Drosophila melanogaster: one gene and its partner. The protein of the gene in region 2 interacts with the protein of the main gene of each other region in a biochemical or structural test. Each region holds a gene or a part of one and is shown on either strand. Other genes may lie near its edges. The genes, in order: DIP-zeta and dpr13.

Region 1 (5,102 bases), on a different chromosome or scaffold from region 2:
TTGGCCATAAAAGGGTCTACAAATCTCCGCCCATTAAACTTTCGATTCTCATCTTTAATCTTGTTTTATTACTCGGTCGGATTTTCGTACATGTATTGTTTTGTTTCCTAAACTCAAATATCCCAAATATAAATCTTACCAGACAAGCCGGGGCAAAACTTTGCCGATAGTATTCCCCAAACTATTTTACCTCATTTGGGCAGTCCTTAGCAGAGAGACTAGACTGCAGGGCATACTTAACCAAAGTCGCAGACAAACTGCAAAAGAAATTGTGAATATATCTACACAGGAAAACAGGAACCAAACTTTCCATTTTCAATTTGCTGCAGACTTTGGCTAAGTACCAGAGAAGGAGGTCCAATATTTCCGACCGGTTTTGTATACTTTTTTTCCATTTTGTTTAGCTCTGTCTACTTAAACTCGCATTGAACTGGAAGAATAACATTGAACAGCAAACAATCAGCAGTCAAAAATTTCATTGTTAAGGCGGCAGCGGGAAAAAATAGCAAAACAAGTAGAGGGGAAAAACAGGAAACTTTCGGACAAGGCGTGAAAAATACAAAAAGACTGGGAAAGAGAGAAAAAAACTTTTTCCATGGTGAGAAAAACTTTACAAAGCAGCCAACAAAGTGTTGTAATGGCTGGCATCCAAAGGGATCCCCCGTCCAACGCTTGACTTTTGACCCAACGAAGCGAATGTGTTGCAACGACCTTTGTGGCCTTTCCGCCTCCGCCTCCTCATTCGCCATCACCTAATCCACCCGCTCCACCCACTCTTCCTGTTTTGGTCACATCCTGGCGCAACAGTCGACCACGCCCACTCGCCGCCCTATCACCTCTGGGATTCCCCCCACAATGAACTTGCCAAGCGATGGTGCACGTTTCTCCTTGGGTGTGTGGTGTGTAGAGGAATCCCAGGGAGAGGGTCACAGAGCAGTCATCTTGTCTGCCGTCTAGCCTTGTCAGTTTTAATGTTTTTGGCATTGAGCGATGTCTGTGATTTGAAAGAGTTCATTAAGATAGTTCAGTATGGCCAACAGGGAGAATTCATCACTCTCATATCGCATACAATCCGTCTATATATAGACTAACTTTCAGACGGATATGCATCGTTTTTTTTTCCTTCTGCACAACTGACCAGTGCTTGTCGAGATGATTACAGTGCCCTTAAAACAAGGTCTAGTTAAAAAATAGCAAAACTTTTTTCGTGCACCTAATTTAATAGGATAAAATCATCATGAAATACTTCAAAAAATAAGTAACTAAAAATATTATCTGTCTAACCATTCAAAAATACCACTGTTAACTTTGAAAAGAACTTCTTAATTAACCGTCTACCAACTGACAACCAGCTTTGCTAGCTCAGTCAGTCATAAAACGCAATTATCACCCTCAATTAGATGGTCCTGCATCAGCGAAAATCGAATAAGCAACGCTTGCAAATTGAATATCTCAAATTAATTGCACTTTTTTCGCTCAACATACGCACATGGACTTGAAATGAAATGCAAATAAATTTAATTAACTTGTCTAATTAAATACTTGGCTCCAAATAGCAATATGCAGCAACCAACGGAAAGCAAAAATGTGTTTTGATTTTGTTTTCATTTTATCTTAATTCAATTATTATTAAAAGGGTACAGCTTCAGCCGGAACGAGCCAAAAAGGTTCGACGGCGGAATCGGCATGCAACTCGAACTTTGAGAGGTGATTTTGGGGCATGGTGTTGCAGGTTGGACTCTGTTAACATTTTTGTCGCGTGTTTTGCGGTCTGTTGTTGTGGTTGCGGTTGCACGCAAACAACAAGCCTCCGAACATAACAAGGATACCGGACATAACCAGCAACCGGCAGCAACAACTACCAATGAACAGCATCCAGCGTCCTTTGGTTGGCTTAAACCGAAGCTACACTTCGGCTCGCTCTGTCGGCCGTCGGCTCGTCCCCGCCTGTTATCACTCGGCCAACGCGGCGTATACGTAACAGCACTTCCCATTCGTTAGATTTTCCCTTATTGTTGTTGGTGGAAAGCCAGAGCCCGGCTCTGTGCGAGCATTAGGTTTCGTCGGCAAATCAGTTTCGCTACGGATTCTGCACGAAGCGGACGCGTTTTATCGGTGTTACACTGAAAGATCCCCGGCAAAGGGAAAGTCGTACTCAAGTGTCATGTGATCGATGCCAAATTAGAAGCACCTGACTCAATGTGATCGTGTTGAGAAATGACTTAAAAGTCGAGCTAAAAAACTTAGGTCCACTTGATTATAAAATTTAAAAAAATACCAAAACTTGTAAGCGTTTTATTGAAAGATTACAATTTGTAAAAGTGGTTGAAAACTTGGTATATCATACGTAACACAAAACTAACCTACAGAATTAAATATTCACAAAAATATTCTTGTAGTTACAGTATGTAAATTAATTATTTCAATACATGCAATTCATACTATTAAGGTCTTAAACAGAAGAACAATTTGATCATCGGAAAAGTCTTTTTTATTAATAATTCATAGAATAGAATAGAAACTTTATAAAAATATGGAATTTTAAATTTAACAAACTTTAGATATTATTTATAAATATCAGTGACAGAAGTATATTAAATCGAAAGTTCCAACAATTTTTAAAAGTGCGAGTGCCGGTTAGGATAAGTAATTATAAGCTATGTTAAAAATTGAAAATGCAATAAGGAGTTGGTTTAATGCGTTTGTTTCGTTACGCTATATATTATATTTATGTATAAAATCTTAATTACAATATATAATGTAAAAGGTTTATGTTTGGGACTGCAGATCATTCAAATGCAATTAAAGACTTCGATTTATCTTAGTGCGAGTATTTCAAATAACTGAACTCCATTTAATGGTTAACCACAGCTACAATCCAGACCACAAACTCACATGTCACTTGTCAGGCCCTCGAAATGGGTAAACAATTAACAGTTAACTCTGCTAATGCACATTTCATGCCAACAAAAAGTAAACAAACAGCGAGACTATCTCCAGGACCCTCGAAGTCCTTAAATCCCGAAAACTGGCAGACACGCACACAACGCCATTCTTCAATCTGTGAAAAATTCCCAAACAAACTTATATGCGAATAAATGAATCCACTAGAGTTCACTTTGGGACAACTCGCAAAAAAAATAGTCGAAGGGGAAATTTGTTGCGATTGATAAAGGACAGCAGTTGTTGCCACTGCAACGCAATGCACAACACACAAACACAACCGAAAACAGCAAGGCAAATATAAACAAAGAATTTAGCTTAAAAATACATTAACCCACTGCATCCATGAGAATCAGGATATGCAGGGAAAAGGGCCAGGACCCGACTGCCAACTGCTGAAAACTTGCATACTTAATGGAGTAGGAGATAGAGACAGACAACGCAGAGAGTACAGTGGGGCCTATGTGTTACTGGACACAACTGTATTCCAAATGCAGAATAAGTCTTTGAGTATGAATATTGTCAAAGCTCATTGTAAACGTTTCTTAGCATTTTGTTACAATTTATTAAAAAAAAAAAATATTAAAGAGAAATATTTAATTACAGTATACAACATTGGAAACTAATAGAAATTGTTGTAAAAATACTTTACATAATTTATTCAATATACCAAGACTTAGAATGGATCCACCACTAATATCAATATATCGGTTCTTATGGTCCAAATATTTTAATTCCATTTAATATATAATTAAGATTTAAATTATTTCATATTTATAACATATGTGAAATGATTCATTTTGTTGGGTATCCACTGTACAATGGTATGTTTTGCATTCAGGCATCATTGCAGATCAATGGCAATATGGAGCTGATACAGTTTGAGTAAGACACGTAAACACACAGAGCAGAAGAAGGATGGGAAACTCATGGATGTCAGCTGTTTCAGAACTTTTTTCAAAAGCTAGTGAAGAGAGGGCTTATTGGTTCTTTATTTATTTCCATCTTTTTTGAATTCTTTTTTGAGTTCAGCTTTGTTGCGTTTTGTTTGCTCGAGTTCGGTTTGACGTTTGCAGTTACAGGAACTTTACAAATTGTGTAGAGTAAAACAAACAAAATAGCAAAACTTTGATGCTGCTGATGATGATGTCGAAAATATGTGTGAGCTTTGATCATAAGTGCATATTTATTGGTGCGTTTATTTGGTAAATTTAGTTTCTATATTGCACTTCTGAAAATATAATAGAGTACTTTATCCAGATAAAATCAGAGTTAAATTGAGTCTAGTTAAGCTTGTATTATCCGAATAAATAGTAACGTGAACTAACGAATTTTCGATAAGGGAGAGATGTAAGTCCTTAAATAAAACCAAATTAAATCGGAATTTTATTTTCATGTATTTGTATTGTTTGCTGCCAAAATATAAGTGATAGGTAACAGGCACAACCTTTCTAGCTTGCTTCTTCTTTGAAGAACCTTTTAATGTAAATAAATTCGGCCATAGGTAAACATATCTTAATTCAATTTCGGCCTCCTTTGTGCTGCTTTCTTTTCTCCCTTCAATTACCACAAAACCATGAAGGTTAAAAGCTGTCAGGCATTTATAGAAGCTTAGGAGAAATCCCCTGAGAGCTAGGAACATTTTTTTTGGGCTAATGACTATGTCAGGATTAATTTACGTTTACACAGAATCTTTTAAAAAGAAAATTTAAACACCCAATAAAAAATATTATAATGGCTATGAACTTAGTCAGCATAAACAAATAAATGTTATTGTCTCTTTCATCTACGCACCCGTTTAGTTAAGTCCCTTTAATCCCGCAACAATTATAAGCCAATTTGTTTTACCAAAAAGTTATCATTATAAAAACAGCAAAAACCAAACAAACACTAAATAGCCCCATTAAAATTTAATTTCCTAGCATAAAAATACAAGAAAAACACATTCGGAACAAGTTTCTCCCTCAACAATTTATTAATTTAATTACAAACACTTTGCCAAACTCATAAAAAAGTGCATAAAATTTGTTGGACTTCTTGTTCTTGTTTCTGATGGTAAATCTGTTTCGGTCCATACCAAAAAAGCTTTATCATGTGTGCGTGGTTTTTGGGGGAAGAGGTGGAGTCAAAATTGCTTAATTTCATAAGCGAGTCATAAG
Region 2 (4,893 bases):
ACTTCTTGCCCGTCTGGACTTCTTTCCCTGCCGACTTTCTTCTGCCTTTCACCACAGCCTTTTTTGCCTGTCCTGACGAGTTTATTTGCTTGAGCAGCGTTAACTGATTGTCTGTGATTTTCTTGTTTTTAGATAATGAAAGCTGCAGCAATCTGCGGCTGCGGGTACATAAAATAAAAGCAAGGCACCCAGCAAGTGTAACTTTTTATGTGCTCAGGCAACAGAAATCGCCGGCCATTTATACGGATACTGGGATACTGGGATACTAGGAAACTGGGCGGCCAGGGAGATTGAGTGTGGGTCAGTGTGCCAGATATCGAGTGGAACGGGGAAGGGCAGGGGAATTAACATACACGACTAGATGTTTGCGGGTCAGGTTTTCATTGCCTGATATATGGTTATGATTTTCCAACGGCAATTTGGCCAGAAGCTGCGACTATTTGTCTTCTTGGGTATTAAATTTGGATGGGCAGCAGAACATCGAACTCATTAAGTGAAATATTAGAGAGGCGTTCGATTTTAATTATTCAAAAGATCGCAAAGAGCTATGTGAAAGGAATTTAATGCATGAAAATTATTTAAAATAAAAATGAACGAGATCTGTATTCTTATTAAACAGTGGTCCATTGCATTTGACTTGACTAATATATCTGAAGCATGAAACTCAGGAATTTAATCTGCAAGACACTTTCCCGCGTTTTAGCTCAGCATTTCCCCGGTTTTCCTTGTTAGCCAAAGAATTCAAGCGGAATGTGACATTGCAGCTGGGCAGATGGCGCCTTCGACGCGAAAATGCTTTCACAGCCTGACAAGGTCTAAAGCGTGTTAGCCATTTATTAGTTCGGATTTCTGGCTAGCCCCAAAGTATGCAACCGACTTCTGCGAGCCCAAACGTGGCCAAAAAAAAAAAACCATGAGCTGGCTGAAATGGAAAGTTAAGTTCGCCCAGCTGAGGGCCCACAACTTGGTACCAACTAATTTCAGCACAATAACCCAAATTGAAGCGGTTTGCTGATGCTTTGTTTGCACCCGATTAGAGCCGAGACGCGTGACGAAGGTGCTTTCGTCACTCGGCGAAATGGCTGCACAAAATGAGAGAGCGATGAAAGCAGGAAGGAGAGAGAGAGTCCAACTATGCGCACAAACAACAAGGAGAAAGATAGAGAGAGGACCGGAAGTAGTGAGTTTGCGATAAATGTTTGCTATAAAAATCGTACCAGCTGTTCACTGAAGATTGACAATCCTAGAAGCTGTTTGAAAACAAATTAAAATTTCAATATATGCACTAAAAAAATTTAGTTTTTTTTGGCATAAAAAAATTTAGTGTCGGTATATGTAAAACTGTTAAGTTGAGCCTTGTTTAGGCAAATTAAGGATACCTAAAAGTTGAATGTGTTGTTAGCCCTAAATCATCTAATCATACACAATTAAATGAAATGGTAATCAAAAATATGGCAAGGATTTAAACCAAATTTAATGATATATGAAACATAATAACCTTTTAGCTTTTACCTCTTTTCTTTAAGTTGATATAATAAGGTTAGCTGCATTAGTTGCAATGTAATATATGTGTTAATAGAACAAGTGCTTAATAACAAAAAAAAAAAACTATAGTATTGATTGCCTTAAACGGAATAGTTGATATAAATTGAAAGGACTGGGTTTCGGTTTCAAAGGACCAATTAAGCAAACATTTCACGCGAACGCAAGATGCTATAAAACTTGAGAGTTTCCCCAAAAGGAAAATGAGAGAGGCAAGTCGAGAGAGAAAGAGAGAGCCAAGCGCACGAAGTTCGTGCAGACTTTTCCGCTGCTGCTGCTGCTGCTGCTGCCACTGCCACTGGTGATGGTGTTGCTACTGGTGTTGCCTGCTTTTCCTTGGGTCCTCGTGTCAGTCGCGTGCGAAAGCGTAAAGTAAACAGACAGGCGGCTAAAGCGGCAGAAGGAAAAGCAGCGAAGCGCTGGAAAAGCAGGAAAAAGCAGCAGCCGTGCAACCGAGGGCCAAACAACAACACCAGCGGCTGGCAGGCGAATTCCCACGCTGCTGCTCAGTCAGTTGAACTTTGACCACGGCGGTAACGGGTTCGGTGCGGTGCAGTGTAGTTTCGGTGCGGTCAACGCGGCGTATGCGCAACGTACATGCAACGTGAGCGCTTTTTTTGCGAAACTATAAATGATGAATTCCAAATGTGCTGGCATATGGCTGCCACGTGCCCCCAGCTAAAATGTGACTAAAGGATTACAAAAAAAAAAAAACGAGCAAGTCAAACAAAAAGCGAAAATGAAACAATGCAAAAAAACGCTTAATTAAAATATGGAAAGTTAATTGCAAATGGCGCTTAGCAATGTGGTCACATCAAATGGGCATAAATCAACGCAGAAAGTGCATTTAATTAGGCTTAATATAAAGAAAACATCAAATAACCGAAAAGTGTGGGCCTAAAAAAATAAACAACAATTAGAGCAGGGGAAAAAACGTTTTAATTAATGCAATGTCATCCAATTGAAATGCAAGTGCAGTGACAAATGAAATCAAATTAAAGCTCTGATAAATTGAATCACAAATGCAAAACAATTGACAGCTACAACAACAAGCGGAAAATAAGTGCAACATCCTCAGCGACACACAGCAACACAAAGCAACAAAATGCCGGCATCAAGTGGATTATATCGCATCAAAAATGGCCGTGTCCTTGACAGGCTGCAAAAACCAGCGGCACTCATTTTTATAATAGCATATATTGCGGCATGCGGCATTTGCGGTAAATATCACACACAGACATTATGACTTTTCACTAAAACTAAAAATCAAATAAAATCCCACATAAAAGCGAGGCGTAGAAATTACAGAAAAATAATGACGCATTTAATACTTTTTCATTTATTTATGCCGTTGATTTTTCAATTTGCATTCCGCTTATTCTGTACTGTTCACCGAACACGATTTAATTCAATTAGCGTCGCTGTAATGCATGAAATATTGTCAAAAGACAAATTGGCGAAATATGAAATTAAATGTGGCAAATATCACGGACGAGCCGCAACAAAGGCCACGAGATTGCCCAAGTCGAGAAATCGTTAATTTGTAACATTTCATTGCCGATGTCGAGTGCAGTGACAGGTCAGGCGATGAGCGCGGAAATCACCTGTGCATCACCTGTCAATGGCTGACACCGCAACAACGGCAATCAGGGGATTCCCCTGCGCCAAACGGCAACAGCAACACTTGTCTCTACAACTGAGCTCACTGAAAGCTGCCCCCTGTCGCCATTTCTCTCCATCTCTTTCGCGCCCTGCATCGCTATCTCTCTCTCTCTCTCTCTCTCTGTGTCTGACTGACTGGCTGACTGGCAATTTGTCAAGCAATCAACAAAGCCAGAAATTGCCCGGCAATAAGACAGAGCGAAAGCGGCAGAACGCCAGTTTGTCCAATCGGGAAAATGTGAATGCGAATAAACCTATTGAACACGCCAAAAGTGGTATAGAATATGCACTGCGATAAAAATATGACACCAGGAACTATCATAATCATCTCTAGTTGCATTAGGTATATTATGTTTCTAAACTATGATTTTTATGCAGGTGTAATCCTTTTGACAATCTCTTTATTCCCTTTTCAAGCTTTACGCATTTTAAACAAAATATCTTTATGAATATTTAAAAATATACATATAATAAATAACATATAGTCAATCGTTATATATAATAATTTAAATTATATTTTTAATATGCAAAAGCTGACTATGTATTCTCAAGAACTATTAGTTCTTAACTTACTTAAATAGTTACAATATACAAAAAATGTGCCTCTTATAATGTTTATAAATTGCTAGTTTATTTGTAAATAATGTTTATTTCTCGAATGCTTGAACGCAACATAAAATTTGGTCTTCAATTTAAGCGATTTTTCTCGCAGTGATTGGTACTCGACTCCAAGGAATACCGATATGTGGAACTAGTACACTGCTTGTGCCACATTTTGTGCGTGCCCCGCGTCGATGGGGGGAGAGGGTGTCCGTAAAGTCGTTGCTAAATAACAACAACAATGGCATAAAAAAGTGCCACGTCTTCACACACATTTGCACGCGCACACACACAGTGGGGCCCTGGGGCAACGCACACACACCGCAGCAACTGCGAGTGCTACTGGCGACTATCTAGCGCATCCATTGTTGCATGCCACACACCAACACAGGCCTTTTGGGCCACACACTCCTGTCGCTGTCGTTGTCGTTGTCACTGTCAATGCTGTAATGAAAAATGCACAAACACAAAAACGAAATACGAAAAAAACAAACAGAATCCAAAACTGCAACTGAAAATAGAAATAAACAGAGGCCGAAATAAATATATTCAGAATGCACGCCAGCTTAGGGCGATGAGTAAAAAAAAATAAAATAGACAAGCAATTTCAGCTGCGCCTGCCGCTTTTTATTTGGACCGCATTAATATTTAGCCAGCCACATGAACGTGCCTAGATATACATTAAGGCTCATATAAATCAATATTTATGCCAGCGGTGCATGTCTGTGGATCGAGCCATGGGATTTTTGAAGGCCAGCGGGGTCGCAGCAAATGCATTACTAGTCGCTGCACCCAAATCCGCAGCTCAATGCATCCAAATATTTGCATAATGTAACCAAAAAATATAAAAAAAAAATATATTTCTCCACTGCACTGCAGGCTATATGCTAAGCAGGGCGACCATGTCACTTTGGGGGCCAAAAATGTGCAGCTACCCATTCCCCATTTGAATGTTTTGGTTGTGAACATCGATATAAACATGGAAAAGATCGAGCGTTGCTAAAAAGCAAAACGACCAAAATATATGTAAATACTCTGTACAAATATTCACTTATTCAATTATTCACAATGCTTAACAAGCGGTTTGTA

The links.
Region 1: the proteins of dpr13 (region 2) and DIP-zeta form a complex in vitro, tested with the Drosophila melanogaster proteins (one study listed by BioGRID).

Annotation. Positions count from the first base shown.
Region 1 is NT_033779.5:9,068,134-9,073,235, reverse strand, and holds the start of DIP-zeta (Dpr-interacting protein zeta), read left to right. Parts: upstream 1-2,071; 5' UTR 2,072-2,404; intron 2,405-5,102.
Region 2 is NT_033778.4:18,004,903-18,009,795, reverse strand, and holds the start of dpr13 (defective proboscis extension response 13), read left to right. Parts: upstream 1-1,893; 5' UTR 1,894-2,647; coding exon 2,648-2,762; intron 2,763-3,800; exon of another isoform or gene 3,801-4,401; intron 4,402-4,893.